Linked DNA regions of Xenopus tropicalis. The protein of the gene in region 1 interacts with the protein of each later gene in a biochemical or structural test. Links are inferred from orthologs where the notes say so. Each region holds a gene or a part of one and is shown in the gene's direction. Other genes may lie near its edges. The genes, in order: nxf1, ran, nup214, nup62, rbm15 and alyref.

Evidence for each region.
Region 2: the proteins of nxf1 (region 1) and ran form a complex in vitro, tested with the Homo sapiens proteins (2 studies listed by BioGRID). The link is inferred for Xenopus tropicalis from reciprocal best matches to the Homo sapiens genes NXF1 and RAN.
Region 3: the proteins of nxf1 (region 1) and nup214 form a complex in vitro, tested with the Homo sapiens proteins (4 studies listed by BioGRID and IntAct). The link is inferred for Xenopus tropicalis from reciprocal best matches to the Homo sapiens genes NXF1 and NUP214.
Region 4: the proteins of nxf1 (region 1) and nup62 form a complex in vitro, tested with the Homo sapiens proteins (3 studies listed by BioGRID and IntAct). The link is inferred for Xenopus tropicalis from reciprocal best matches to the Homo sapiens genes NXF1 and NUP62.
Region 5: the proteins of nxf1 (region 1) and rbm15 form a complex in vitro, tested with the Homo sapiens proteins (2 studies listed by BioGRID). The link is inferred for Xenopus tropicalis from reciprocal best matches to the Homo sapiens genes NXF1 and RBM15.
Region 6: the proteins of nxf1 (region 1) and alyref form a complex in vitro, tested with the Homo sapiens proteins (2 studies listed by BioGRID and IntAct). The link is inferred for Xenopus tropicalis from reciprocal best matches to the Homo sapiens genes NXF1 and ALYREF.

The regions. Positions count from the first base shown.
Region 1 is NC_030680.2:36,504,397-36,509,488, reverse strand, and holds part of nxf1 (nuclear RNA export factor 1), read left to right. Parts: intron 1-2,575; coding exon 2,576-2,686; intron 2,687-2,813; coding exon 2,814-2,872; intron 2,873-5,092.
Region 2 is NC_030677.2:157,739,151-157,743,694, reverse strand, and holds part of ran (GTP-binding nuclear protein Ran), read left to right. Parts: intron 1-425; 5' UTR 426-440; coding exon 441-476; intron 477-555; coding exon 556-640; intron 641-1,995; coding exon 1,996-2,121; intron 2,122-2,384; coding exon 2,385-2,572; intron 2,573-4,544. UniProt on the Homo sapiens protein: GTPase involved in nucleocytoplasmic transport, participating both to the import and the export from the nucleus of proteins and RNAs. Switches between a cytoplasmic GDP- and a nuclear GTP-bound state by nucleotide exchange and GTP hydrolysis.
Region 3 is NC_030684.2:12,377,420-12,382,511, reverse strand, and holds part of nup214 (nuclear pore complex protein Nup214), read left to right. Parts: intron 1-194; coding exon 195-278; intron 279-837; coding exon 838-1,116; intron 1,117-1,604; coding exon 1,605-1,760; intron 1,761-1,885; coding exon 1,886-1,988; intron 1,989-2,437; coding exon 2,438-2,513; intron 2,514-3,409; coding exon 3,410-3,509; intron 3,510-3,703; coding exon 3,704-3,803; intron 3,804-4,730; coding exon 4,731-4,801; intron 4,802-4,898; coding exon 4,899-5,092. UniProt on the Homo sapiens protein: Part of the nuclear pore complex. Has a critical role in nucleocytoplasmic transport.
Region 4 is NC_030684.2:38,697,484-38,702,575, forward strand, and holds part of nup62 (nucleoporin-62 C-terminal-like protein), read left to right. Parts: coding exon 1-173; intron 174-341; coding exon 342-488; intron 489-1,595; coding exon 1,596-1,748; intron 1,749-2,233; coding exon 2,234-2,317; intron 2,318-2,987; coding exon 2,988-3,072; intron 3,073-3,184; coding exon 3,185-3,329; intron 3,330-3,445; coding exon 3,446-3,495; intron 3,496-4,601; coding exon 4,602-4,736; intron 4,737-5,092. UniProt on the Homo sapiens protein: Essential component of the nuclear pore complex. The N-terminal is probably involved in nucleocytoplasmic transport.
Region 5 is NC_030678.2:72,274,348-72,279,937, forward strand, and holds the start of rbm15 (RNA-binding protein 15), read left to right. Parts: upstream 1-2,239; 5' UTR 2,240-2,331; coding exon 2,332-4,842; 3' UTR 4,843-4,876; intron 4,877-5,590. UniProt on the Homo sapiens protein: RNA-binding protein that acts as a key regulator of N6-methyladenosine (m6A) methylation of RNAs, thereby regulating different processes, such as hematopoietic cell homeostasis, alternative splicing of mRNAs and X chromosome inactivation mediated by Xist RNA.
Region 6 is NC_030686.2:27,888,837-27,894,022, reverse strand, and holds the end of alyref (THO complex subunit 4), read left to right. Parts: intron 1-963; coding exon 964-1,095; intron 1,096-1,648; coding exon 1,649-1,796; intron 1,797-1,877; coding exon 1,878-1,941; intron 1,942-2,483; coding exon 2,484-2,661; intron 2,662-3,406; coding exon 3,407-3,421; 3' UTR 3,422-3,652; downstream 3,653-5,186. UniProt on the Homo sapiens protein: Functions as an mRNA export adapter; component of the transcription/export (TREX) complex which is thought to couple mRNA transcription, processing and nuclear export, and specifically associates with spliced mRNA and not with unspliced pre-mRNA.

The DNA.
Region 1 (5,092 bases):
AGCAGAGGGGATATGGATCCTTTCTTATAAACCATCTATTTTTCTTTTCTGTCCCCCCACAGCTCTAGATTTCCAACTTTTTTCTTTGATCAACAAATCAAAGAAACCATTTGTCCTAGCTTCCTTGCCAAATGGTCAGGTTTCGAATAGTCCTACGCTAAAGTGTGACACCTTTCCACAGCCTCCTTCTGGAATATCTAATTGGGGTCTCTCAGTGTGTCTAAGACCAAATATTTCCAGTGTTAACCCCTATAATGCCAACTCAATACTGCTCTGCCATGATAGTGTTCTCTTAGCTTTTAGGCTTATGCCTCATGGACGGATTAGTCGCCCACTATCTCTGCTACAATGGGCAGAGATAGTGGGCGATCTCCCCGAAAAAACCTTTCCACTGGCCACAAAGAGAATCGCTGGTGATAAGTCCTACTTGTCACTTTGTTTATCTGAAGTCATACAGAGTTTCCTACTTAAAGGAAAAGGAAAGGCTAAGTCACTTGGGGATGCTAAAATGTTAGGCACCCCAAGTGACTTTAATCGCTTACCTTGTACCCCTGGTGCCCCTGTTAGGAGAAAACAGCACCAGCCCGGGGTACCTGTAGCGATTCGCTTCCTCCTTCCGGCTTTGTTTCGCTGCGACTACACGGTAGGCGCATGCGCAGTAGAGTGAAAAGCCGAGTTCTCTGTTAAAGTACGGCTTTTCACTCTACTGCGCATGCGCATGCTCGTGAAGACGGAAGGAGGAAGCGCTACAGGTACCCCGGGCTGGTGCTGTTGTCTCTGAACAGGGGCACCAGCCCGGGGGAAAAGGTATGCGATTAAAGTCACTTGGTGTGCCTAACATTTTAGCATCCCCAAGTGACTTAGCCTTTCCTTCTCTTTTAAGTCACTTGGGGGTGCCTAACATTTTGGCACCCCCAAGTGACTTTGCCTTTCCTTCTCCTTTAAAGAATAAGTAAACTTTGTTTTTTTTCTATAAGTAAAATTGCTCTAAACAGCCTCCAGAATTAACTACCTTTGTCCCCAGCATTCTCTCTGACCTGGTTCCTCAGTCAGAAGGTGATCGTTTTTCTTTGCTTCCTTGTGCAGAGTGAAGCCCCACCCCCACTTCCTGTTCAGGTCTCTCATAAAAAAAAACAAAAAAAACTGCTAATCCACAGACTGGCTTCTGCTGACTCCAGTCATGCGCAGAAGGGTCTCCAGGTCGACTACAGGTAGAGAGAACTGAACAGAGAGTGGGGGCAGGGCTTCACTCTGCACAAGGAAGTAAAGAAAAACAATCGCCTTCTAACTGAGGAACCAGGTCAGAGAGAATGCTGGGACAAAGGTAGGTAATTCTGGAGGCTGTTTAGAGTAATTTTACTGATAGAAAGGCCTTTCCACCGACACTTTTCCCCATGGGTCAGTGTGAGGTAAAATATCTTCAGCTATTTGTTTTCAGGCACAATCTTGAATTGGACATATGTTCTGTTAGTCTTGGATGTAGCCCAAATTATTCTCCCTTTTTCTCTCTTGAATATTTTTTTGTCTAATAAAAGAAAACTTAATTCTAAGCAACTTTGAAAATATACATTCATTGCATATTTGTAATGGTTTTAGAGTTATTTGTATATAATACATATTAGAAGTTGTGTTTGCCAGTCATTTTCTATTCTCTGCCCTGTTGGCTCTGGTGTTTGGAACAATGTAACTGCTAGCAGACTGACAGACCTGACTTGCTGGAGGAGCCTGGCACTTGAAACATTATTATAGAAATCAGCATTTGCTGATCTCCTGGTTGTTACTTTTAAAAACAATTACATTTCCAAAACTTTTAAAGTACTAATAATTTTTAATGTATGTTGGAAAGTTTCTTAGAATTATATTTTCTTTTATTAGACAAACATTTATTTTTGGAGTTGACATGTCCTTTAAAAAAAAAAAAACTATACCCCAGAATGAATATTGATGGTTTATACTACGTTAAGTGATCTATTAAAGAATCTCGCCAAACTGGAATATTATATCAGTAAATATTGCCCTTTTACATCCTTTCCCTTGATCCACCATTAAGTGACAGGCTGTTTGCTCCCTCAGATCACATGACCAGAAATAATGCAGCTCTAACTGTAACAGGAAGTAGTGTGGGAGCAAAAGGCAGAACACTGTCCATTCATTGGCTGATGGGGCCTAGCATGTATGTGTGCCTTGGCTTGTTTGTGTGCACTGTGAATCCTGTGATCCCAGGAGGCGGCCCTTAATTCTTAAAATGGCAATTTTCTATTTAGGATTACCCAATAGCACATACTACTAAAAAGTATATTTTTATGGAGCAGGGTTTTACATATAAGCTGGTTTATGCAATATATTTTTATAGAGGCCTACATTGTTTGGGGGGTAAAAGGTTTTCCTTTAAGGAAAATTCCCACAATTCAGGACACTACCAAGCTTGTCATCTGCTTGCTTAGGCAGTATTTGATTTTTATTTTTTGCATCTGGTAAAGATGCACAGTGTCCCACATTCTTTACCAGCTAAACAGCTGATCCTGATCACATGAACACATGCCAACTTTCTCCTAATATTTTTTCTGTTTTTCAGGTATTATGCCTGTTATGATTCTGAAGACAGGCAGGGTCTTCTGAATGTGTATCATGATGAGGCATGTTGCTCTCTGAGCATTCCTTCAAATCCAGGCCAGAACCCTTCTAGGTTTGTTGTTTTCTCTCTATTCTTTCCTTGAGCAATTTCTGCAGTTTGTAATAGCAGAGTTGCACAAGAAAATGCATGTTATTAAAGGTTAGTATTTAGTTTGAAATATAATTGTCTCTTTGAACAGGAGTAGTCTTGGAGAATATTTCAAGGACAGCAGAAATATAAGAAGACTCAGAGATCCAAGTAAGTTAAATCATTTGCTGTTTTCCTGTATTGTAGAGAAAACCTGATGATTGATCACCCAGAGATGTTGGTTCTAAACAGGTGCAGCTTGGAACCTGACTAAAGCTGGCCATACATGTAAAGATCCACTTGTTTGGCAAGGTTGACTAAAGTGCAGATCATTCCCCAATATGCCCACCTTGAGGGCCGTGGGTCACAACTATTGGATCAAACAACAGAATGCTGGCCATTGGGCAAGAATCGCATCAATCACCCGATGCAATTTGTGGCCAGAAATGTTGTCTAAATATCCATTTTCAATGGGTGGTACATTTTAAGTGCAATTGTTCCATTAAAATGGAAAGCTGCCCCAGGCAAGTAGCTGTGTCTGCCACCAGTAAAGAAATTATTGAGAGGTGATGGGTGAGAAGGTTATTGGTTTACCCCAGAAATGCATTGAAAAATACATGGAAAATACACATTGGGATTTATGTGTAAACACTGGACAAATTTGTCCCTGGGCAGCAATCAATCAGTGTTTAGCTCTTTTGCAGCTGACTGCAGGTAAAACAATAAAGCATTGTTTGCCATTGATTCTGCCCAGGTGTAGATTTGCTTATTATGTTCCCTTTGACAAAGGAGAAATAAAGGTAAACACTAAGGGGGAGATTTACCAAGATCCAAACGCTCGGAGCGTTTATGCGAACGCTTCGAGTGTATTCTCGACAATTTTGGAAAGGCTCTGCCGCTGTTTACAATTGTTTGGTATAAAAATTCAGTGACTTTCAGATCGCCAATACGATATTATCGTGACTAATACGATTTTTTCGTAAGCATTTTCGTGATATTTGCGACCTTCAGAAATTTTCGTTTCCAATCCGAATTTTTCCCATTCGGGATTCGAACTCCTGTTTTGATAAATCTGCCCCCTAAGTAAGCTTTATCAGAAAGGTCTATGTAAATACAGCTATAAGCACTCACGGAAACGCTGCACTGACTTCTCTGAAAAAGGATAATTTGGGTCTGTAATTCCTGTGCCAGAGACACGCAGCTTTCTGTTCTCTCCCCTCTCCTGCTCCCCCCTCCCTCAAGAATGCTAAGGACTCTCTCCCCCCCCTTAGGAATGTGGATCTGAGCCAATCAGCAGGAAGCTAACTCATAGTCTAACTGAGCATGTTCACTTAGTATTCGTGTCTGTGCAGGAGTGAGGCATTATGGGAACTTTCTTTACGCAGCTCAGTGTATTTTCTTCCTGTTTGGCTTCAGATCTTCTAACCAGTTGAAATATGGGGAGACTTAAGGGCACTATTGAGACAACTGAAGGTATGCCTGCAGCTTGAGATTAACTCTTTACTAGCCTTTCCTTCCCCTTTAAGCTTAAAGGTGTCCATAAACAGGTAGCTGATAAGATTATGGTTTGGGCCCTTCAGACAGAATTGGCAGCTTATTTTACCATGTATGGGGCCTATCTGACTGATATTTGACCAAAAATCAAGCAGATGTTTGACTGGTTTAATTTTTTCTGTCTTATCAAACGACCTCATCAGCTCATTGATATGGTTCTCGCTCGGGGTGGCTTGTATTCACGTAATTGCCAAACAATTACATTAGTGTATTTTTAGATTAAATTATAGTGCATTGTGTTGTGATATCTGGGATTGTCTGTCAACAATTCACAATCTTTAATCAGTGCTGTTAGGCTAAAGGTGGCCATACACGCACCGATATTATCGTACGAAACCTCGTTTCGTACGATAATCGGTGCGTGTATGGCATGTCGGCGAGTCGACCGATATCGCAGGAAGCTGCCGATATCGGACGACTCGCCGATCGGACAAGTTTGAAAATTTTGATCGGGCGCCATAGAAGGCGCCTGACCAAAATTCTCCCTTCAGAGCTGAATCGGCAGAAGGAGGTAGAAATCCTATTGTTTCTACCTCCTTACCTGCCGATTCAGCCCTGAATGGTGTGTGGCGGATCTTACGATGTTTCGTGCGACCGATGGTCGTACGAAACATCGTCGGATCGCCACGTGTATGGCCACCTTTAAAGGAACAGTAATGCCAAAAATGAAAGTGTATTAAAGTATTTAAAATATAATTTATTGTTACCCTGCACAGGTAAAGTTGTGTATTTGCTAAAGTAACAGTACTATAGCTTATATAAATAGACTGCTGTGTAGCCATGGGGGCAGCCATTTAACCTGGAAAAAAGGAGAAAAGGCACAGGTTACATAACAGA
Region 2 (4,544 bases), on another chromosome or scaffold:
TTCTGACCCCCACTCCATCTTTTTTTCTGCTTTTTGTGGTGTCACAGGGAATGTTTAGGAAGGTAAAGTAAGGCATGCTGGTGCATTATTTTTTTTTTTTAGAGGAAGGCCACTAGCCCATGATAGATTAGAACCATTGGTGAGTTCTAGCAAATGTACACCCTCCCATGATTTTTACCTTTTTAACCACTGAGTCATTCAAGAATTCCTAGTAAACAGTGTAAGATGAAACCTACAGTATCAACTATTTTCTCTTTACACAATGCTCCTTTAACATTCATGAATAAGAGGTGTAAAAGTGAGGGAGGATCAAGTGATGTGGGCTGACTATGCTAAAGCTGAATGTTCTGGGGAATGAGTAGTCTTATTATACATCTTGCAGCTGACAGTAAGAATTCTGTTACTTTTTTTTCCTCTTTTTATAGGCTGACAAACATACCATGGCAGCCCAAGGAGAACCTCAAGTGCAGTTTAAGGTAAAAAAACAAAAAAAAAAAACCTTAAAGTTATTAGGAATTTGTGCTGCATGTTTTCTAATATTATTATTCTTTGTAGCTTGTTCTGGTTGGGGATGGTGGTACCGGTAAAACAACCTTTGTGAAACGTCACTTGACTGGTGAATTTGAGAAGAAATATGTAGGTATGTAACTTGGTCATTGTGTGGTGTATAAAGCAGATGGTAATGATTAAAGGTGAGCTTTTGCACAGCTTGCTGGTTTAACATATGTAGTGATAAGTGTAAATGGAACATAAACAGCAGATTCAAAATATGAAAATAATTTTAAAGTGGATCTCTAATCAAAATCTTTTTTTAATCCATATTAAAAAAAAAAATAAAAATTCCAGTACTTAATTTTAAAGGAATTCTGGGGGGCTAGCCATGTCTATATTTTCGAGGACGAGAAAAAGAATCATGGAAAGGCAGCTCCCTGACGTCTGTATTGCAAAGGGTTTAGACGCATGGGGCGATTAGTCCCCACGCCGAAAACACAATTGGTTGCGGCGGGTTTTTAAATGTTGTGGTGACTAATTGCTGATGTGTCTTCACCCTAAAAGTGGTAGATATTAGAATGGCAGTAAGAAATCCAAGTCCATCTTCGGACTCCTACAGTTACATGAGAGTAGGAAAAACAATAGGTTACCTGAAAGCAGTTCTAATGTGTAGGGTTGGCTCCTTCTGAAAGCTCAGACTCTGGCATAATGCACTGAAATGGCGCCTACACACCTATATTGCAACTAAAAAAAATGCATTTGTTGGTTGAAGAATAACATTTTAAATGGTAGAGTGAATTATTTGTTATGTAAACAGTGTAATGTGGGAATAAAAGTATACCATAAAAATCATGACAATCCTTAAAAAAAAAAAAAAAAAAAATCATTTGTAAATGTAAGTGCGATCAAAAGCAGTGTTTCCTACCCTGTTCCTTAGGTCCGACAAAGTAACTGGTCAGGTTTTTTTCGGCTTGCTTTTGACAAAGTACAGAAAATGTAGGCAGATAACTCCTTATAGCATTTTTAAAAAAGCATTTGCAATAAATATAACCATGTATATTAAGTAAATTAGAAAGTTGTTTAGAATTACATTTCTTAGAATTGTGCTTTCATTATGAAGAAAACCATTAGGCGTACCTTTAAATTGTCCAGTAACCACAGTAAACTTTCAAAGGCAATGAAACATGGAGTTACTTGTAGCCAGCTACCTGTTGCAGTTGCAAAATAGACAGTAATGAGAATTTTGTTTTAGCAGAGATAATTTTCAGTATTATGGCAGGGTATTTTGTAGCCATAATAAATAGCTGGCTACAAGTAGATTAGTGTGTCTTAGCCTAAATTCTCCATTTATGTTAGTGCCGGCATTCTTACTTTGACTAGGGTATTCTTCATAGTTATATAGAAAATGTTGTCTATGAATTTTAGTTGGTTCCTTGTAGGATTTTTCCCTCCCCATAATTAAGGAACACTTTTGTCTTATTTATCTCTTCTATCCTGCAATAGCCACACTTGGTGTTGAAGTTCATCCCCTGGTTTTCCACACTAACAGAGGGCCAATCAAGTTTAACGTGTGGGATACAGCTGGTCAAGAAAAGTTTGGTGGTCTCAGAGATGGATATTATATCCAGGGTATGTAATGTTTAGACTTTGGAACTTTCACATACTTTACACAGTTGTATTGAGTGCCGTGTAGAACTGATGGTTTAGCTTTGAATTACTATGTAAACATAAGTACAGATTAACTTTTATTACATGTACACTTAATTTTGATAATTGGTGGTTTTTGTAGTCTGTAGTTTTTGCTTAGCACTATAGAATAGTAACTTGTTAATTGTAATGTTTTTTGGATTCCTTGTCTAAATGTTTTAATGCTGTGTTTAACTGTCTTCCAGCCCAGTGTGCCATTATCATGTTTGATGTTACATCAAGAGTCACATACAAGAATGTACCAAACTGGCATAGAGATCTTGTAAGAGTGTGTGAAAACATCCCAATAGTCTTGTGTGGTAATAAAGTGGACATAAAGGACAGAAAAGTTAAAGCCAAATCAATTGTCTTCCATAGGAAGAAGAATCTTCAGGTAAGCTTAACTTGAAGGAAGTATCCATTTTTTATATGCATGGGTTTTTTTTTTTTTTTGTTAGTGGCACACAATTGTTTTGTTTGCTCCTAACAGTAGCGGCCAATACTTTTCATTAGCTTGGAATTTACATTGATATATCTCCCCTTGTTTCAGAAAGAATCAAAATCTTGCAAATAGGCTAGAAGTTTACACATAGGGAAAACAATACTATTCCATGGCTGGCCTAAGGGGGCAGTTGCACGCGTGGAGCTAAATATTCACTATTGCGGGCCACTAATCTCCCCTAAGGGCGAAGACACAGAGCAACTAGCAGCAGCTAAAATCGCCGAAAAAGACTCGCGAGTCTTCGGCGATTTCCGGAAATCGCGCCGCCGCGTCTGCCATCCCGCCGGCGACTTACATGTTCGCCGGTGGGATGGTAGGGGTAGGCAACTCGGGGAGATTAGTCGCCTGCGAACAGGGAGTTAATCGCGGGCGACTAATCTCCCCCGTGTGCCAGAGCCCTAAATGCCTGAAAATACCCTGCCATAGACAATACTAATTGCCTCTGCTAAAACACATGTAGAGAATTATCAGTAAATGATCAGCATTGTCTGTTAGTAGCATCGACAAGTAGCTGCTACTAGTAGCTCCATGTGTCTTCACCCTAACAGGATTTTGGGCTTGTCAGCCTTCAGCTCCACTAGGGGGAACTAATTAATTTTAGATGATAGGTACCCTTTTTTTCATTTGCTTTCGTTCCCTGAATTTACCTAGAATACAACTTGGGTTACATGTATTACATTTTAGCCTTTACCTTCAAGCTGCGCTTTAGACAAGATTGCACCTTAAATGAGGTCCCACTCTTCTGCATAATTTAAAAGTATTCTAAGCTACTTTAAATGAAAACAATATCTGCCCTTTTCTGTTTTCCTGGCATAAATTAGCAGATACCATCTGATTAACAGATTCATGCTATTCATATCTTAGATTTTTCTGCATGAAGTTATCTTTAGCATATCAAGAAAAATCATGGCACCAGAAAGTGCTTACTGTTACTGCGCATACCCTGTTTATTCCTAGCTCACTTATTTTGTTAGCTATTAAGAATAATGCTATTTGGGTGGAAAAAGATGACATCAAAGACTGCAATTAATGCAGAATTAACTCTTGGTTTGGGTTTGTGCTGTCATTTAGGGTAGTGGTGTGGGTGTCTTAGTTTGGTTCTACAGGTTAAAAGTTACAAAACGTTGCATTGCTTTAAATGTGCTTGAAAATTAGATTTTTAGCGGTTAGGTAGGTAAGCAAGGAGGGACAGCAGTGGGGAAAACATAGAAAAATGCAACTACCCATATAAAATACAAGAGGAAACCAGGTATCCACCTTGGACAGCTGTGACATGCTGCCCGTTTATGTATGGCTCTCAGACCATGTTAGTAAAAACCAACCACGCATTCTGCGTAGAGGATTAGCTATACAACTACATAGTTTAGGATATTACTGGAGCATATTATTACTTTCCAGCACAACATTAGAGCTTTGGTTTTTATCATTTGCCCTTTAAAAAAAAAATATGGAGCTGTTGGTAGACTTGGTGCTCATAAAGTCCTTGGAGGACCCATTATCCTACTTTTGGGTTACATTTGCTTTTTAAGGTGCTGTGTAAATCTGTTGGTCTATACACATAAAGGGTAAAATCTGTGCAGCCTTGTCCTATTTGAAAGTAAATGTGTATTAGTCCTCTTTATAGGTGGTCTGATAAGCCGATTCTATAAAAAACATATCTGTAAAACAAGACCATGCCGCTGGTCTAATGTCATATCTGTACTGAATAAACATGTAGCTTTTAGATTTTCTACAGTGCTAAATTTATTCTGTTTTTGGGAATGTAGATCCAGCATCATAAAGGTTTGAATTACTTTGTAAATAAATGGTTACTAAGTCTACTCTTAAGTCCAGGGCCAAACTTGAAGTCCTATATCTATGGTAG
Region 3 (5,092 bases), on another chromosome or scaffold:
AAGCATTCTGCCATGTTTCATTATACGTTTGTGGCTGGGGTCGCTGCCTGTCTGTCCTCTAATCAAGCGGGAATGGAAAGATGCTAATTGATCCATTCTATGGCAATTGCCAGGTTCTGATTGGTCATTTCCGTGGCATTTGTGTTGTGTTATCATAGTTATGTTGACTTAAGCTGTTCTTTGTCCATTTGCAGCCAAACTGTCCACAGTGAAGCAATGTCAGCTAAGAAACTTTCTAACTAAGAGGAAAACTCCTCCTGTTCGATCTCTGGCTCCAGGTACCTTTTCATTAATTAGAGATAATGTATAGAGCCATTGTGGCAGAAAATCTCTTTAAAATTCCTATGAATAGGCAACGGTAACATAAAAACATTAGTCCATTTCTTTGTTTGCATGGTGGAACGTACAACAGTTTGGCCATGCTTTATGGCAGAAATTCTATGTATATGATCAGTAACCCGTGCATATTTGGATAAAATTGCTGCTGATAGATGACTGTGCCTGATGTAAGAGTGGAAGAGAGAGAGATAATTTGCCTTTCAAGTACACAGAGGCCCAAACAGCCCCTCACAGGCCCAATAAATAGTGACTGTCCATGGCAGGGATCCCCAACCTTTTATAGCCACATTTAAGTGGAAGAAGTGTTGGGGAACAACACAAGCATGGAAAAAGTTCTGGGGGTGCAAATAAGAGCTATAATTGGCTATTTGGTAGCCCCTATGTGGACTGGCAGCCTATAGAAGGCTCTGGGTTTTATATAATCAATACTTGCACCAAGCCAGAAATTCATAATAAAATAAATACACCCTGACCATAACGAGCCATTTTTGCTTGCAGCCAATCTTTCCCGTTCTGCTTTCTTGGCCCCGAGCTTCTTCGAAGACCTGGATGACGTAAGCTCGACATCTTCCCTGTCCGACGTGGCTGATAATGACAACAGGAACCCACCACCTAGAGAAATAGAAAGGCAGGAGACCCCTCCACCAGAGGCCACCCCGGTTCGAGTGCCCAAGCATGCCGCTGTGGTTCGTACAACATCTGTGCAGCCCGGCCTTGGCACGGCTTCTATACCCTTTGGTAAACTGGAATCAGGTGTACGGCCTGCTACAAGCACACGTAAGTACTTATCTGCTTCTAGAGATGCCTTCCATAGACTTGTGTTTTCTTCTTTCTAAGTACTGGAAAAAGTATGTCTGGTGAAAAATAATCTAGATATAACTGGGCAGGTTTGAAAATCCATTTGATGAGGCATGCATCAGTACGTTGATGTAGTCTTTTTGAGGGTCTTCATAAACCACAGTGGATGATTTCATTTCATTCAGACCAGCCTGATTGGCCCAGCATATGTGGGTTTCCAAATCTAGCCCAGATCTGTGTGTTTGGCGACCTCACCAAATGAGCAGATCTGGCCGTGTATCGCCACCTTTGCTCTAAAGAATTCCATTGGTCAGATGGGTGTCATTGGCAAAGTAGCGAGGAGGGTGGTGCATAGTTAGAATAGCAAACTACTCAGTGGCAGTGGGTTAAAATGCAGCTGCAAGCTAATATCTACCTAAGCTACAGGTCACAAAGAGCTGATTTCTTGCATTATTTGGTTGTTGCAGCTGTAGCTCCATCACAGTCGATCAGAGTGATTCCACAAGGAGCTGATAGCACCATGATGGCCACCAAGACTGTCAAACATGGCGCCCCCACCGTAACAGCTGCACAGAAAGCTGCTGTGGCCGCCATAAGAAGACAAACAGCCAATCAGATTCCAGGTAACCCTCCTTTCTGTATTGCTGGAAGTTGCCCCCCCCCACTCACACACTTGTAGCATCCCATCTTACTAAGTATCCATATCCAATGCTGGGAGTTTTAGTTATCCACCTATCTTCTTTTTCAGCTGCCTCTTTGACCGAATCCACTTTACAGACTGTTCCCCAAGTGGTCAACGTGAAAGAGCTAAAGAATAACGGGCCTGGCCCAACCATTCCCACGGTCATAGGGTAAGCAGTAAAGCAACCTACCTGCAGGTGGCGCCATCACTCTATCTGATTAGAAGCTAACGATAATCTCCCAGCTTTCTCTTTTTACTGACAACACTGTGTCTGTGTGCAAAGGAACCCATACTGCACCGATAACATGACTGATTTTGCCAGAGCATTTCATGTTACAAAATGGAGAATGCCGTGCTACCTCACCTATGCATGTCCACTTGATCTGCCATATTCAGGCACCATTAGTTGTGATGTTTATAACTCTGCCTTTAGCACCACAGCAAGCATCTGCATCCAGGTGTTGACCTACAACTCCCAACATTCTACCAGCAGTGGGTCTGTCCGGGGTGATGGGAGTTGTTTCTAAACTCTGGAGGGCTTCTGGTTTGGTGTTACTGTATTATATAGTAATTACCCTCAGTATTAATCCCTCATCTCTGTTTTTGGTTTTTAAACAGGCCGTCAGTTCCCCAATCAGCTGCCCAGGTGATTCACCAAGTCTTGGCCACAGTTGGGTCAGTCCCAGCACGGCAGGTACGGATTCATTTTTTTCATTAAAGTGTTCTGCTTTTCCTGCTAAGTTATGTTATTGGACTGCTTGACAGTAGACCCCTAATGCTTAAGCAACCACGTGGGCTGGTTCCTGTTGCAGATTGTCCAGTCATCATGTGCACTTGGATGCTAAGCATGAAAAAGGGATGGGAGGTGTGGCCTCTGTCACTTTCAGATTGGCCGTTGCATCCGATTTGCAGAATTTGAACAAGCAATGACATATTTCAGTGAAATAAACAACCATTTATTGGCTCAAAATTAAATCGAAAATTCAAAAAAAGCAAACAAATTAAACATACTATACCAAACGATGGATAGGTGCATCCCAGTGCCTCATGGTACCCACTCTCCTAACGCATTTCGCACCATTGAAGCATGTAGTATGTTTAATATGTTTGCTTTTTTTTTAATTTTCGGTTTAATTTTGAGCCAATAAATGGTTGTTTATTTCACTGAAATATGTCATTCCTTGTAATATATTGATTCAGGACCTATCAGTGGGAAATAACTTAGAGATTCTCTTTCTTAATCTATTTTTTCAATGATTTGCAGAATTTGTCTGGTTATTGCCTATTGGATGATGGCTGCATAGCACCATTGATACAGCCCTCTACCATTGTGTCAGCCCAGACCCCTAATATGATCCTATTCCCTCATTATTCAATATGCTTATGCTAACTTTATAGGTTGACTGCTTATACTATAGATACAAGTAAGTGCCTCAGGCCTTGCAGAACTACATATCCCAGCATTCTGGAAGTCATAATTCTCAAAGACCTTGGCTTCAAATAGCTGTGCATTCGCTTTGCTTTTACTGTTATTTATAAGCAGCATTACCCCAAAGCAAATAAAACTCATGAAAAATAAATACTCCCTAGGCCGCCCCAGCTGGTCCACTGAAGAATCAGCCTGCACCTGCATCTGCAACCGGTATCGCTCCTCAAACATGGCAGGGATCCGCCTCCAACAAAGCCGCAGGTGAGTGGCTCTGATGTGCAAGGGCAAGGTATGCGTTATAAACTTGGAATTCAGAGGAACTTGCTGCAGATCACTACATATTTTATGACACACTATCATTGCCTTGCCTTAAAAGCAGTTTATTTGCTACCAGCCATAAGCACGTTTGGATTGGACAGCTGTGTTCTAATGATAACCCTTTACTCTCTCTCTAGTGCAAGCAATCCCAAAATCTGATCCTCCAGCAACCCCGGTTCCTGCTGCCTCTACAGCTGCCTCACAGGTCAACAAGCCTGTTTCCTTTTCCGCTGCAAGGTAAGTGGCCTATTGACTGCAGTCTGTCTCCATATGAGACGGAATCTCAATGTGTAGAAGAAAAGAAAGTATCCGTTTTAAGGTGGGATTAAGGGAGGATCAGACTGGGGGGTGCAGGGCCCACCGGGGCTTCTGCTTCAGGGGCCCCTGCACCCCCCAATGGCCCCCGCCGTCTTCACTCCCCCCCACACAGAGGCACCCAACACCCTACCGGGTTTTTTCCTGGTACCCCGGCGGCCCAGTCCGACGCTGTGCTGGGAGTTTAAATTTAATGAGAACCGAAGCCTAAAAACGAATGTGCCTTATAGTGCTGTAGTTTATATACTGAACTTAATGTACCAGCCGTGAAGTCCAGGCGTCCTATAACTGTAATGATCCAGGCCTTAAAATAGCTCCCCATTTTGGTTCTTGTTCGGCCATCTTTTTGTGTCAGTGACACTGCACATGCTCAGTGTGCTCTGGGCTGCTGGTGAGTAGCTAAGCTTCCGACAGCAGCCAAGATTGTGTGCTATGAGTTAGCAGAAATGAAAATGGGATGCTATTGCAGGCATGTTTTTTTTGGAGGAAGAGCCCTTTACTGCTAGAGGCCAGTGGTGGCTGAGTTGGACTGGCCCACTGGGATACTGGACCCTGTGTCGCCCTGCCACCTACTCGCAAGCAAGCGATCCCAGCCAGCACGACTCTGCTGCCATGTGTTCCACTATGGAATGCACAGTAAAAAGTGGAACAGGAACAGCGGTTTCTGGGTGGTGGGCCCTTGAGTTAGGTTCCGAGTGGATCATTGGTCCCCCAGTCCGACTAAACTATTCCAACAGTGACTTCTGAAACAGGGCTTGCAGTGTCCCTGAAGCAGATGAATGCTTATAACTTGTAACTATAAGAAAAAAAAACATCTTCATTCTCTCACTTCCATTTTTGTGTTCACAGCAGTGGTTTCAGTTTCAACAGTGTATCTTCTGCTCCTGTTACAACCTCTGCCATGGGAGGCAGCTCTGCAGGTAACTCACCCTGGAAAATATATATATTACTGTTCTTGTTCTGCTTGAACTACTATCATGGTGATATGATGGACTGCAATTTTCTTTCCTTTTTCAGGTTCTGTTACCGCTGCAAGGGATTCCAACCAACCATCCTCCTTTGTGTTTGGAGGTACCAGCAAGTCTTTATTTGGTCCTGGGGCAGAAGGATCGTTTTCTTTTGGATCAGTTAAAACTGCTTCCTCCACCTCCAGTACTTCCACCGTGGAATCCACATTGGGCAAACCTAGTGTTGTTACAGGCGTGTCATCC
Region 4 (5,092 bases), on another chromosome or scaffold:
CAGTGTTGGGGGCTTCGCATTTGCTGGTGGAGTTGGTTCTACAGCTACAAATGCCTTTGCACAACCTGCAGCTCCCACGGGCATCACCTTTGCAGCAGCAGTTTCAACAGCTGCAGCACCAATAACCACATCTCAGCCTGCCAGTACCTTTAGCTTTGGAACCCAGCCACAAGGTGAGAACTCACCTTTCTCTTATATGTCTTACACATTGAAAGTAATCGGGTTTAGGTACAATGGTTTACCTATTTTTTATTGTCGCCTTTCTCTTCTTCCCAATCTTTGTACCCTATTAATTCATTTCTTTGAGGATCACCATTTTCCCTATGTGTTCTTCTCAATAGCAGCCCCTGGTTTGAACTTTGGTTTATTGTCATCGACTCAGTCTGCTGTTCCTTCCACTGCTTCTACTCCAGCTGCCTCGCAGTCGGTAGCACCAACACCTGGGCTTAGCCTTACATCATTGGGCAAACCAGCAGACCCATCTGCAGGTAACTACTGCCCACTGGCAGTTTCACATTGACCTTTTAGCTCTGTCTTAATTCAAAAAGGTTATTTTACACATAGGTCTTATCTTCAGGTATATGCATATTTGTGTTTATTTATTTTCTGTAACTATTAAAATACTTACAAAAAATAAAACCCAAGTAACCTTATATTCTTGAGTTTTGTAAACAAAATGGCAGTTAAGTTACCCTTATAGGTAAAGCCCCAAACTATCAGGTAAGGCTATACAGAATTCAAATCCTAGTGTGCTTAAAACGTCCTCCCTAAATTCCTCATCTCTGCTGAGATCAACTCCCCAAAGATAGTAAAATAGGTCACTGTGTAAACCATGTTCCAATGTTGCAGCAATATAGAATGAGACTGTTTATACAGTAAAGATATCTTTAAAAGAGGTGGGGTGGGGTTAAGCACACCAGAATGACAATTGTGTATCACTAACTGTCTTTCCTTGTTGTCTTGAAAATGTGTTTAATTGAAAATGAAGACTAACTTCATAGTGTCTTAGAATTCCATTATCTACACCATACTAAAAGTTATTTTTTAGGTAAACTAACTGTTAAAGTGAGTGTTAAGTAAGTTTTGTCCGAAAGGGCTATGTAAATACAGCCATAACCACTTACAGAACTGGTGCTTTGGGTCTTCAGTGAAACGAAACACCACATTTCTTTTTTTATATATATATATATATATTATATATATATATAATATATGGTCTTCTGTGTCAGACTTCCTGCTCTCAGAAAAATCAGTTTGTTCCTCCCTCCCTTCTCCTTCTCCCCCTCCTTTCTTTGCTGTGTAATCTGAGCTTAGAGCTGTTCCAGGAGCAGTGTGCAGGTACAGAAGTGAAGTCAGACCAAGTTAAAATGGCTGCTGCTGTCTTAAACAAGCAGAGAGAGCTTTTATAGCTGTTTACTTAGGTATGGTAAAGCATTCTGCAGAATAAATATAGCATTCTGACTAATCTATTGGCAATAAAATGCCTTTTCTTCTCTTTTGAAGTTTTACATTTATTTTTTTTCTGTAAAATGTACTTTCTTCTAAGTTTTGCCTTTTATATAACAGTTGTAACTCTTATGTTTAAATTGATACAGCAATGGTATCCACAGGAACCGCCACAACAGCCACACCTTCCCTTTCTTCCCTTCTGGGGACATCTGGGCCCTCTCTCTTCTCTTCTTTGGCTACTTCAACTGCTGCAGCTGTTGTGACGACAACAACAACAGCAGCAGCAAGTGGACTGTCATGTAAGTTCTCATTTTCATTTTTAAACATAGTACTGTTCAATATAAATAATCAGTACTGAGTTACCAACGTGATTCACCAGTTTTTTTGTGAGCTGCTGGTTAAAATACAACAGAAGTTGTTTTTTATGTTATTTTTGTGTGGTCTATTAAAGTGTGGTAAGTGTTAAAAAAGAGACAAATTAGGGCTACTTCATAAGCACTTTCTCATTATGAGTTATGGTTAAAAAGTAGGCAGTTTCTCCCTACTCATGTCTGTTTTTTGTGTTTTACACTATCTTCTGTGTGGATAGTTATTTGAAAAAGAGCTTTCCCATAAACTATTTTACTTATTTTTGTTAAGAGATGCCCTAATCTGCTAGCTATATAGTTTATTTTTTGTCATACTTGTGATCCTTTGTGTTTCTTTTAATCTGATTCCTGCTTATGCCAAGGGCCTCAGTGCATAGCTTTGTATTCAGTAAAGTGAGATGCATATCTCTTATTAGTGAGTTCGACTACAGCAGGCACGGGTTTTGGAATGAAGATTTTGCCAAGCAGTGCTGCACCAACAGGAACATTGCCTACCAGCAGTAAGTATAAAGTGGGAAGTTTAGCATAGCAATAATTTCTGTAGTTCTGTGTTAAACACTTTTTTCACGGGATCATAATGTAATTTTAAGTTTACTCTTATATGAGTGAACAACAGAGCCTTGAGAACAGATGTTTTTGGTGATTGTAATGCAGGGTTTTGCAATATTGCAATTTTCTGCCTTACTATGCTCTTTTCCACCTTATTGTAATTGTGTGTAAATAATGGAAATTGTGCACTATTACATCCTTTTTCCTTGCTTTGCACTTTCTTGCCCTACAATACACTGTTTTGCCATATTGAGCATTTTGAGCAATAATTAAGATAAGCAGTGTGGGTCATGTGTATTGTATACGCAGTATACTGAGGAAGCGCACTGGCACAATACTCATTAGGAGCTCAGTGACCATGGAGCACTGTGGTACCTCTCTCCTTTGCATGAAGTTATGGTTGTTTTATGTGCAAAATAAAAGTTTGCATGTGTGATACTGCCTATGTTTGTAGGCACTTGTTCGCAATAAATTATTAGACTGATCAGCCGAATAAACCAAATCTTTAGTCCAATGCTATGGCTTTTCTTTAGGAAAATAGATTATAGTATAGTTGAAGTCTTTCTTCATGCATAAAATAGTTGCTGGTTCTCATCTAGAGACTTCTGTCCTTATTTTCAGCAGCCTCTCTTGGTATGAGAACTCCACTTTCTGGAACCACAGTTCAGGCTAATGTTGTCAGTTCTGCTGCAGCTGCAGGAGTCGGGTAAGAGGTGTCACAAATGATACCATTATCAGCATAGCAGTCATTAATTTTATTTCTCTGGTTGACTGATATTTTGATTTGTGTTTTTCCACATAATGGTTTGTCTTTTTAGTACTGCTGCAACAATGACTTATGCTCAGCTAGAAAATCTGATTAATAAGTGGAGTTTGGAATTGGAAGATCAAGAAAAACACTTTCTGCAACAAGCAACTCAGGTCAACGCATGGGACAGAACTCTTATGCAGAATGGAGAACGGGTGAGAAATCTGAGAAAAAAACACTTGTGTGGCTTAGTGTAAACAGTTTTTGTGTGTGTGCAATAATGTTTTCACAGGCAGAATTTATTTTTATTTATTTTTTTGTCTGATTTCAGATCACCACTTTACACAGAGAAATGGAAAAAGTTAAACTGGACCAGAAAAGGTATGAGTAGGAAGTAAAACGGCAAAAACATAGAAAATTTGACCAAGATGAATGATGTTTGGTTGATTGATTGAATATATGTAAGAAAGGCACACCTGAGCTGAAAATCAAATGTTTTAAATGTACAATATTGCATAAACCTATTAAATAATAGTTGGTTCTATTTTTAATGTTCTCATTTATAGAAATAGATTGAGTTTTTCATAGCAAAAAAAAAAAAGTAGGAAATATAAAACATGAGTAGTTGGGAATCACAATCCATGCAATTCAAAGTGAAAAGGGGACAGGGGGTGGGATGTTAGGAAAGGAGAGGGAGGATCAGTAACAACACTTGCATCAATGCTGGAGCCCTGTCAATCTTTGAACGCATATGCAAACTTGGTGTAACTAGATAGGGGACTTCTGGTGCCTCATCTTAAGAAGCAGTGCTGAAAGTTTGGGTTTTGTAAAGATAAAAATCCCAAAGTTGTAGTGGGCAAAAGTAGTTTCCTGTTCCTTCCACGTGGCAGTGGGTACCAAAGGTTTAATCTCCCCTGCCATGAAGAAGGTACAGGAAATTAAAACATATTAAAAGTACTTCCCCTTTCCAATGCACCTATTTATTTTTTCCTATCAAGACACCCTTTAAATACCAGCAGAGTAGCTCTCCTCTTGCTGAAGCTCCTGGGGCTGATTCATCTAAAAAGATTTATGCCTTTGCTGATCAAGATGTCCATCATTGGGTATTGGTATTGTCCTTAGTCAGTTGACATGGTTGCATAGGGAAGGGGAAGTCCTTTTTATATGTTGTCATTTTCTGTATATTTCATAGTAACATAGTAAGTTAGATTGAAAAAAAGATGTATGTCCATCACGTTCAATCATCTTCCTCACAGCAGGCACAAGAACAAGTATGTGAACAGATTGAAAAAGCAATGTTTAAAGTAATGTAAAATCCACAAACAAAAACAATTCAATAGAAAGTAAAATCTTGTTTTTGCTGTGTGTATTTTCATTTTCTGTCTGGCTGTGTAGAAATATATGGTGATTAAACAGGTACACCTGCATGCTAAGCTTGCTCTTTGGAAGCTATTGGGTCTGTTTCACCCTCTCTACTCTTCTATCAGGTTGGATCAGGAACTGGACTTCATCTTGTCACAGCAAAAAGAACTGGAGGACCTTCTGACTCCTCTGGAGGAATCTGTGAAAGAGCAGAGCGGAACCATTTACCTCCAGCATGCAGATGAAGAGAGAGAGAAAACGTGAGCCAGTATTATAATGTAATAACTAAGAAGTATAAGATACAAGGAGATCTGGGTTTGTGATTATACTCAAGTAGGCTTTGGTTATGAGAAAGGGAAGGCATGGTTAGGGCCAAATAATTGTGAATATCTTCCTGAAATAAGAATAATACATATTCAGAATGTTTCCCTCAAGAATAAAAATTGCATATCATTCATGTTACCCTTTACTACTCACTCCATGCAGGGTTGTGTCATTGAGTTGGTTATTTATAAATACACTTTGGTCTAATATATTGTTTAAGCAAAGGAAGGACACCCCAATTTATTTCACCTAACTGTCGGTTCTGCATGAAATCATATATATATATATATAT
Region 5 (5,590 bases), on another chromosome or scaffold:
AGCCCTGCAACATGCATTTATTAAAAGTGTCCCTGAATTTTTAAGTGATCTGTTGTCATTACTGTAAGCACAGGTTGCATTTACACAATGAATGTACTTCTACCTAGTGAATTAAATGTTAATGTGGTCATTAACATTACATGCCAGATGTATTAATTATTTAATTAATTTATATATAGTGCCATGTCCACATAACTTGTTCTAAATGAAATCCCCCACCTGGGTCCATTGTTGGACCCAGAAAAAATGTGGTTGGAACAAAGACTAAAGGCCCCCATACACGGGCCGATAGAAGCTGCCGATATCGGTCCCTTGGACCGATTCGGCAGCTAATCGGCCCGTGTATGGGAAGAAACGAGCGGCCTGACAGACCGATATCTGGCCTGAAATTGGATCTTATAGTGTATGGGGACCTTTACTCAGGGCTTGCAAACCTTATAAATACTTTATTATACTATTGCATACAACATGTTTTTGGGATTGGCCCCTGTGTGTGTTCAAAGGCTATTTGGCTCCACCTCCAAAAACCTCATCAAAGTGCAATCCATGTCAAAATGTATTTTTCAACAATTCTTGCATTATGTGATGCATCCATTGCCCACATTTGCATATTAAATAAGGGCTCCATTAAATTCTGTGTCACCTTACATAGCTGTAGGACCAACAATAAAGGCCATAATAAATAATAAAGTTCATAAAATATTAGAAAAATCCATTAAAACAATTATCTGTTAAAAGAATATTTTAAACAGGATACTGCCCTCAACAGGTCTATGCAGGGGACCCAAACATGTTTATTAAACATTTAACCCATTCAATTAGCTCCTACATCACTTAATTTATATCAATACCTGAAAACAAAAAAATGCTTGAACACATCCAGTAGAAGCTCCATATTCATCACTCATCTAAAAAGAAAAGAAGGATATGTCATCATAATATTCTAAAGTTCCATATTTCACATACAAGTATGGGACCCGTTATCCAGAAGGCTTGGGACCTGGGGTTTTCCAGATAAGCAGTCTTTCCGCAGAGAAAAAGGAAGCCATTTTTGGCATTCCCTTAATTCTGAACTTTCTGGATAATGGGTTTCTGAATAAGGGGTCCGATACCTGTACTTGATAGTTTTTGTTATCTATTTTGCCTCGCTTTGTAATATTGTGTTCAGTGCCTCACCTAATGAGTCACTTATTGGTGGGCATAAATTAAAAAAAATCTGGGAAATAACCTTTTTACGAGGTTCATGGTTTAAATAGGTTATTGGGATCTGGAGCTATATTCTCCTACATTCTGAACACATTGCCACTGTTCACATTTAATAAAGGGATCAATGCCCAAAACATTTTGTGTACAATCACATAAAAGTATCTGCAAGGCTTGAATTCTAGAATAAAGTACGCTGGAAAATTTGTTTTGAAAATTGCACTTTGCACATAACACGGTATTAATAAATGTACCTTATAGAACATTGTGTTAAAATGTTAAAGAGGTTACCAAAGGTCTACAATCTATATATCCCTGTATAGTAACAATACTGCATTAGGATTGTTTGACAATAACAGCAAAGGAAATACCAGTAAGATATGTTTGAGTGAAACACAAACATGAAATAGTGTATTAATAATCTGTAGGGGTGGTACTACAAAGGGAAACAGACTAGAGATTCAAAGGGCCTAGAATGGTCCTTACAAAAAAACAATTTTAATTACCCAATTTAGCATATGTTTAATAGTTCTAAAATGAATTTGTTGTGGGGACCAGTAACAACTAATTACACCACTAATAATGTGTAAAAAAAAAATCTACTTTTAACTGAAACGACGTTCTCGGCTTAAAATCACTTGAACAATTATGCACCTCCTATCCAGCAGCCTAGTAACCTGCAAAAGTATATAGAATCGATTCTACTGGGTTGTTTAAAACGCTTTGCATCTGATATGCCAATGTTGTCTCTTTCCAACGTTCCTCTTTACATTTCACTGAAATTTTACAAAAGTAAAATTGATATGAAACAAATGAAACCTTAGAAACCATTGTAGCACAAAAGATTTCACGCGTGAAAGGATGGATCGAAGCTTTAATAAACCTGCAACGTAGCCATTAGCCAACCCATAACGCCCCGTGGGAAACGCAGAGAAATAGCGGAAGTGACGTGCCCAAAGACCACCCCATCCTATGCGATCTTGTAAGAATGACTGCAGAGCTATCCAATAGAATTTTAAGAAAGCCAGAAAGTACCCAATCGCTATTCAGGGCGGTCAATTAGGCGAAACCGCTGCAAAATGGCGGAGTGTAGTTGTGTGTGAAGACACTATCATCCCGTAACTCGCCATGAAGGGAAAAGAGCGCTCCCCGGCCAAGGCCAAACGGTCCCGGGGGGCGGAGGAATCAACTCGCGAGAGAAGCGGAAAAAAACTGAGCTCCGGTGGAGGCAGTAACGGATCATCGGGAAAGACATCTGAAAGCAGCACAGGCCGCCGGAGCCTGCATGTGGAAAAGGCTATTTCCTCGAGCCGCGACTATGATCAATCGAGCAGAGCCCAGGGCTTGCATCGCTACGGCTCCCCCGGGGCAAGCAGTGGCAGTAGCAGCAGTAAAGGTGGCGCTGAGAGCCGAGGCGGCGGCGGCCGGGCTACAGAGAGCCGTGCAGAGCCAGAATACTACAAATCCTTGCGGATAAGCGAGCTGGGCTCCTCGCTAAGTGACGAGGCAATAGAGGATGGACTTTTCCATGAATTCAAAAAATTCGGAGACGTAAGTGTGAAAATCTCTCGCGAGGGGGACGAGCGTGTGGCCTTAGTGAATTTCAGGCGCGCCCTGGATGCCCGAGCCGCTAAGCACGCCCGCGGGAGGCTTGTCCTTTACGACAGACCCCTCAAGATTGAGGCTGTTTATTTGAATGTCGGCGGTACTAACCGGAGGCGCAGCCGCAGCCCTGGGGAGAAAGACTCGTATGGCGGACTCGCCGCCGCTGTTTCCACACTAGCCACACACAGGCACCCTCACGGCCAGCGCGCACTCTCCCCCGGCGGCCTGGGCTACAGAGACTATAGGCTGCAGCAGCTGGCTCTGGGGCGCCTCCCACCGGCTCCGGCAGCTCTACCCAGGGAGCTGGACAGGGAACGGGAATACAGCCTTTATGATAGCCGGCTAAGGTCTACCTACACAGTAGATCCCCGACTGAACTTTAGAGACGAAGACCTTGCTTTAGAGATTGATGCCAGAGCTAATCGTACACTCTTTGTTGGAAATCTGGATGTCGTTGTCAAGGAGAGTGAAATTTATAGGGTCTTTGGACGTTTTGGAACTATTACAGAAGTAGATATAAAACGAGCTGGTCGTGGGCAGCAAACGACCTATGGTTTCATAAAGTTTGAAAACCTTGACATGGCTCACAGGGCAAAGGTTGCAATGTCCGGCAAGATGCTTCGTAGTCATGCTTTAAAGATCGGCTATGGGAAAGTAGTACCAACAAACCGCCTTTGGGTGGGGGGTCTGGGACCTTGGGTACCAGTAACTGCATTGGCCCGGGAATTTGATAGATTTGGCACCATCCGTCAAATTGATTACCGCAAGGGGGAAAACTGGGCGTATATACAATATGAAAGTCTGGATGCTGCCCAAGCTGCCTGTACCCAGATGAGAGGCTTCCCTATGGGGGGTGACCATAGAAGACTTCGTGTGGATTTTGCAGAAGCAGATGTTCGTTTTCCACATCCTTATGTTCAGCCATTACCCATCCCTTATATTGATTTTGGAGAGGAGACACCAGGACATCGGACTAGTGAAGCCAGCAGAGCCAGAGATCGTTCACCACCTTTAATATTCAGGGACAGGGAAAGAGATGCTTATACAAACAATGATTGGGTGTCACCTCCTGCCAGAGACAGACACAGAGTCACTAGTGAATCTCTTGAAACAATAGAACGACGTGCAGATAATTGGGCTTTAGACAGAGACCGTGAAAGAGATGAAGTGAACAGAGATCAGCCCAGGAAAAGGAGACTGGATGATAGCCGTCACCTAGACAGATCACCAGAGAGTGACCGCTCTAGAAAGAGACACTGTGTCACTCCTGAACGTAGCCCTGAAGGCAGTGGAGGTCGAGACAACCGTTACAATGACTCTGATCGAGTAGCATGCCGCTCCTCACCTTCTAGAGATTGGAAGGGAAGCCTGGAGCGGGGTCAAGAAGACAAACATGATAGAAAAAACTCAGTTGAAAGAGAAAGAAGGCATCGTGTACCTGCAAATAAAAGCCCTTTAAAAAAGGATGAGCATCCAGAGGGCAACAGCAAAGTGAAACCTCCACAAAAATCAGAAGCAGCACACAAGCTGTGTCTGGCTTGGCAAGGTATGCTGCTGCTTAAGAACAGCAATTTTCCATCCAATATGCACCTTTTGCAAGGAGATCTTGGAGTTGCATCCAGCTTGCTGGTTGAGGGACCTTCAGGAGGAAAGGTGGCACAGCTAAAAATTACACAGCGCCTACGACTTGACCAGCCAAAGTTGGATGAAGTTACTCGACGCATCAGAGTGGCAGGGCCTAATGGCTATGCCATCCTACTTGCCATTCCTGGTACTTCCGAGGGTTCATCAGTGGACCAAGCCAGTTCAACACAACGACCCCTAAGAAACCTGGTGTCCTACTTAAAACAAAAACAAGCCGCAGGTGTTATCAGCCTGCCCGTTGGGAGCAATAAAGACAAAGATCATGCAGGAGTTCTTCATGCTTTTCCTCCCTGTAATTTTTCCCAGCAGTTTCTTGATGCTGAAGCAAAAGCCCTTGTGAAGTCTGATGATGACTACCTTATAATGATTATAGTTCGTGGGGCATCCTAGGTCCATGTTTGTATTTCTGTCTACTATTCACAAGGTATTATGGGATACAGTATAACTTTTAGTTTTTTTTTTTTTTGTAATCGCAAGTTCAGTCTTTGTATTGCAGTTTTTGATCTGCTTAGCAAAAGCATTTATGTAATTAAACAGGACCGGACCATATTCAAGTGTTGACGTTTCCTGCCTATTTCCCATTTTCTTTAAATTATATTCTCTTAGCATAGGTAATCACAATCTTCTGATTTTGGCAACTTCTTGAATTTTTTTAAGTGTGAGATTTCTGCTAATTTTTGAATACATTACTTCTTAAATTTGGTTCCCAAACTGTCACTGGACTGTAACACCAAAAATGTTCTCATGTGATGCTGTCCAGCAACAATTGGGAATACAAAGTTAAAAAAGACTTCCATGTATTAATTTGACCCGTTACCACATGCTCGAGTATCCACTTTTCTGCTAGTTTTCTGCAGCATGCAGTAGAGTTCAGTGTAAATACTGTATGTATGTGTATGTGTGTGTGTATATATATATATATATATATATATATATATATATATATATATAATATATATACACACACACAAACATATATATGTTTATCCTACACATCTAAAGAGAGGATTTGAATGATATTAAGAAGGAATTTTATTTTTAAACTTACTCTGTTTAGTTTATTTCCTCCATCAAGAAATGGGTCATATAGCATGTTTGTAGAACAGTGCCATATAAGTGTCAGATATAAGAGTGCCCC
Region 6 (5,186 bases), on another chromosome or scaffold:
CTGCACTTCTCAGGCAGTGAAATATAAGGTAAATGTTGGCATACAAATTTCTGTTTTTGCAGTAAGGACCATTTACCAAACCCTACTTTAGCTTATGTTTAAGAATGCTTACCCAATGGTAGCGTCATGCTTTTTGCAACTTGCAATTTCCAGGAGGTCAGGCACCATATTCCACTACTGTGCATGTTCCAGCTTCTCCTAGCAACTTATTAGCATAGCATTACTGGTATTGACTGGCAATTGACATTATATTGTAACATACCCCCCTGATGTCATTGTAGATGCACGGAAGATTCCCAGCATGCGTTTGTGCTAGATTAAAGGTGGCCATACACAGGCTGATTGTAGCTGCCGTTATCGGTCCCTTAGACTGGTTCGGTAGCTTATCGGCCCATGTATGGGCACTAACGATGGGCCTGCCTGACCAATATCTGGCCTGAAATTGGGCAGATATCCATCAGGCAGGTCTGATCAGGGACCGCATCGACTCGTTGATGCTGTCCCCAAACTGACTGCGCCTATTACCGGTGTTCTAATTCGATCGTTTGGCCCCAGGGCCAAATGGCGGATTAGCCTAAATTCCCCCGATATCGCCCACCCGTAGGTCGCCAAGTGAGTGGATCTTAATGTGTACGGCCACCTTAAGATCTCAAAATCTTGTATGAGTGATATGGCAGCAGATCACTGGTGCCTGCTGTGCCCGGTGTCATTGTCCTAAGGCTTTGTAGCATACCTGCATGCAGAGTAATGTTACCTTAGTCCTCTTAGCTGGAGCTGATATCTATCCTAGATGTCTGACTGCACCACCTCTTTTTTTCTCAAGTGTTAACCTCATTACTCTCGTTGTATGGCAGTTGGTAGAGTTTACCTTTTTGAGATCTCTTGGCTTCAGTGTGGGCATTGCGCTACAGGCAGTGTTTTGTGGCTTTTGGATTAATGACGTTTTTGTTTTTTGTTTTACAGCCGAAACAACTCCCTGACAAGTGGCAGCATGATCTGTTCGATAGTGGTTTTGGTACAGGCGCTGGTATGGAGACTGGAGGAAAACTTCTTGTGTCAAATCTTGACTTTGGCGTTTCTGATGCAGATATTCAGGTGAGGAGTCACTGGCTTAATATGCGTGTTTTTTGGGGGAGGGATAGATGGCATTGTCACCCACATAATTGTGCTTCCATAATAAATTTTTCATTGGAATTGCTGCAGATAGAACATTTGAATCTCCTCTTAGCGATAAAATGTAAACAAGGGCCTTCTTGCACAGTGCAAATATTTTAGCTAAAACACGCTCACACCTGAACTTTGTGGTATTTTATATCCTCCACAGAGCACATCTGACCTTTATTACTCAGCTGAGTGTTCACCAATAGCAGGGCATTCCAGGAAGTTTCACTTCTGCTTGAAAACCTGCCTGAAACACAACTTTTTTTTTTTTTTAAGCTCAATCCTATATCCAGAGGAGAGTAACTCACTGGTACATATTTTATAATTTTTATAGGATATGTCTTCAACCATGCAAATGCAAGGAAACTGTATAAAGTTGCAAATAAGTTGGTCACAATCACTGCAGTAATTCAAAAGCTTTTACTGATATGGTTAGGCTGTACTTTCGCTACTCTGCAAATCAGTACATGTGGTGGTTTCTCAACAGGAGCTCTTTGCAGAGTTTGGTACTTTAAAGAAGGCAGCAGTACATTATGACCGATCTGGGCGAAGCTTGGGCACTGCAGATGTGCACTTTGAAAGAAAAGCCGATGCTCTGAAAGCAATGAAGCAGTATAATGGGGTACCACTGGATGGTGAGTTGCTTAACATGGCCAACTATATAAATAAAATACATAATTATCTTGTCTAAAATCAGCCCTCTCCTATTGTTGTAGGTCGGCCCATGAACATTCAGTTGGTCACATCACAGATAGAAGCACAGAGAAGACCTATACAGAGGTAAGGAAAAAAGGTTTATTTAGCTTGGATAATGTATGTTCTTGATATTGTAATTTATACTAGGGCTTGCAGCACACTATATGTTTCCTTTACCTGCAGTGGCTGAACCACTGCTCTTGGCAGACTGCATGAACACAGGATGTATTATGGTGCAGAAATTAATATTTTGGGCTGCTTTGCTGCCAGGCCAGGACAAAAGCACCTGCTGCATACTAATAAATTATAAGGACCATTTAAGCAGATTGTGGTGGAAAGGCTAACTACACAAGGATCAAAGTTAATTTCAGAAACATTTCTAGTTGCATGTGCCTTTAGTTTTGAAAGTAATTTCAATTTTTTTTTTTTTTTAAATAAAACCTTTGCTTGCAATGCAGGGGTTCTGGCTTGTGTCAAGGGCTCTACATCATTCCTTTAAAAAGTCTGCTTTATATTAATAGCTAATATATGCTATTTTAAATTTCACGTTAAGATATACTGCACTATGAGTGAACTTTTCAACCCCAGCACCATTAATGTAGTAGTGTTTTTTTTATATTTTGCAGCCAAAGTAGGGGTGGTGGTATCACTCGGCCACGAGGAGGAGCTATAGGTTTTTCTGGTGCAAACAGGCGTGGCGGCAGAGGTGGAAATCGGGGTCGTGGAAGGGGGGCTGGAAGAAATCCAAAACAGCAGTTGTCAGCAGAAGAGTTGGATGCACAGCTTGATGCTTACAATGCTCGGGTAAGAAACTACAGGATTTACTACCAGTACAAGTTGATATGGGGACTGGTCCGATTGCCATCTTGGAGTCGAAAGAATTTTTTTTTTTTTTTCCCCATTGCAGCAAATTAGAGAGGCTTCAGATGGGTTTTTTTTTTTGCCTTCCTCTGACTGTTACTAATTTTCCAGTAACTACTAAGGGATATTCACAAATGTTAAAGGAGACATATTGGATAAGTGGGGAAAAACCCTAATTTTGTAGGCAATTATGAATAATAAAGTGCTGGTTTCCCTTTGGGCTAAACATTAATCCTATCTGTAAAAATGGCCACTTCCACAATTGCTCTATATAGGGAACTTGAAAATGAAAGCGAGTTCGTGGTAATTTTGCACAGATGTTCATAGTAATTTTGGGCAGATTGTGCAAGAAAATGCAAACCATAGATATTTTTCAAATAGGCAAAAGTGCACAATGAAAGCCCTATTCATTGCACTTATGTTGAGTAATGAATACTTTTTAGGGCATATATAGAATGGTGTGCAAGCCAACATCACCAGAGATGTTGCCCATAGCAGCCAATTAGATCTCTGCTTGTGTTTTCTAACTTGTAGGTGACAAATCTGAATTGCTGACTGGTTGCTATAGGCTACATCTTGGGGGTATATTTGTGTCTAAGCAAATATAACCAAAATTTATAACTAGTGCTTAGTTTGACAACTATTTACAAATGATAAATTCTAAGCATGGTCTTTTTCTCTTCCCCAGATGGACACCAGCTAATCCCTTCTGTCTTGTTCCTGTGATGTTGCTTGCTCTGAAGAAAAATGTCAACAGATGGATTTTTGTTTTGCTTTTATTTCCCATAGGTTTTAAGCTCATGTAAAGTCTTTTTCATTTTTTTTCTTAATTTCTATGTCCGATGCAGACCTGTTTTGTACGGAGTTATTTTGGGACATTTTATTGGTTGAATGTTGATGGTAGGGTGCTCTTCACCTTCCTCTAATAAAAAAAGAAAAAAAATCAATCTGTTATTCAGTTGCTGTTTTTGTGTATGGGATGATTTTTAAACTTTCTCCAGGTGTCCACCATATTTGTGTTCTCTGACCGTGTTTACATGCCTTCTTAAATAGTATTTGCTTTTAAAAATTAGGCTAAATTGTAAAAAAAATGCAAGTCAGATTTAATGGTCACATTTTGCTGCATGGACTTACCAAAATGAGACTTAGTGGGTGATTGGATGTTTAGTTATTAGATGAATTTGGGAAGTGTACATATATTGGGTAATTTGCTATGAGGGTGGTTAAAAGAATATCATCATAGTAGTTCCTATGGAATTTGTAAGTTGAGATCACTGAAGGTGAGAGAACTGGGTACAATCTTTTCTAATTATACTTCTTGCAAACTGCTTTCTCTGGCAATAAAAACATGTGTTCATAACTGGCTGATGTGCATGACTTCCATAAAATCTATTTAACTGTAGATCAGTGTGTTTTTTTTTTTTTTTTTTTTTTTTTTTTAACAAAGGATGTTTGTAGAAAGGTTTCTCCCCTCTTATTCAGGGTCTATTTAAAGATAATGGGACTATTTAAAGTCTTAGGCTACTGCCATACAGGAAACAGGCAGAGAATCTACCCCTACACTCTGAAGCATTGTCTCAATCCTAGTAATAGAAGATGGTATCAGGCCATGCTTCTGGATGCAGGCAAGCTAACAGTCTGGTATCCGCATAGGGACTCGTACTCTGCCTGTTTTACAGAAGGCTAGGAATCAGCCCACAGACAAAGAATCTGCCTTTACACTTGAATCAGCAGGTTATGCTGCGTCTGCATGCCTTGAGACCAAAGCAATGCTCCTGGGTACAGGCACAACTTGTAGGTTTCTAAAGTGGAGGGGCAGATTCTTGGCCTTCATCCCCAGGCTGAGAATCTGCCCATGTGGCACTGGCCTAACAGGTCCTTCATTCATCTGCAGCCATGCTCTGGCTTACAGGAAGAGTAGTTAAAACATTTAGATTGAGCAAAGTGTGATTTAATCACCGCTAGAGGGTCATCTCCTTTTGTTACTAGTTAACAACTGAAGAGAGCAGTGCTAGTTCTGGGATTCTCAACTACAGGTATGGGATCCCTTATCTGCAAACCTGTTATCCAGAAAGGCCATTGCCCATAGACTTCATTATAAGAAAATAATTAATTTTTAAAAATGATTTTTTTTTCTCTGTAATAAAACAGTACCTTGTATTTGATCCCAACTAAGATATAATTAATCCTTATTGGAAGCAAAACAAGCCAATTGGGTTTATAAAATATTTAATTATATTTAGTTAATGGAGATCCAAATAACAGAAATATCCCTTATCTGTAAAACCTGGTCCTGAGCATTCTGGATAACAGGTCATATACCTGTACTTACATGGATGATCTTCCTCCTTTTCTCTTGGCTGGCTGTCCATGTAAACATAGGGGTGGGCTTTACTGAAAAACACCCAATCTGGTCTCCTGCAACAGCACCTAAAGCACCTAGTGTTTGCAACCTCCCTTCATTAGCA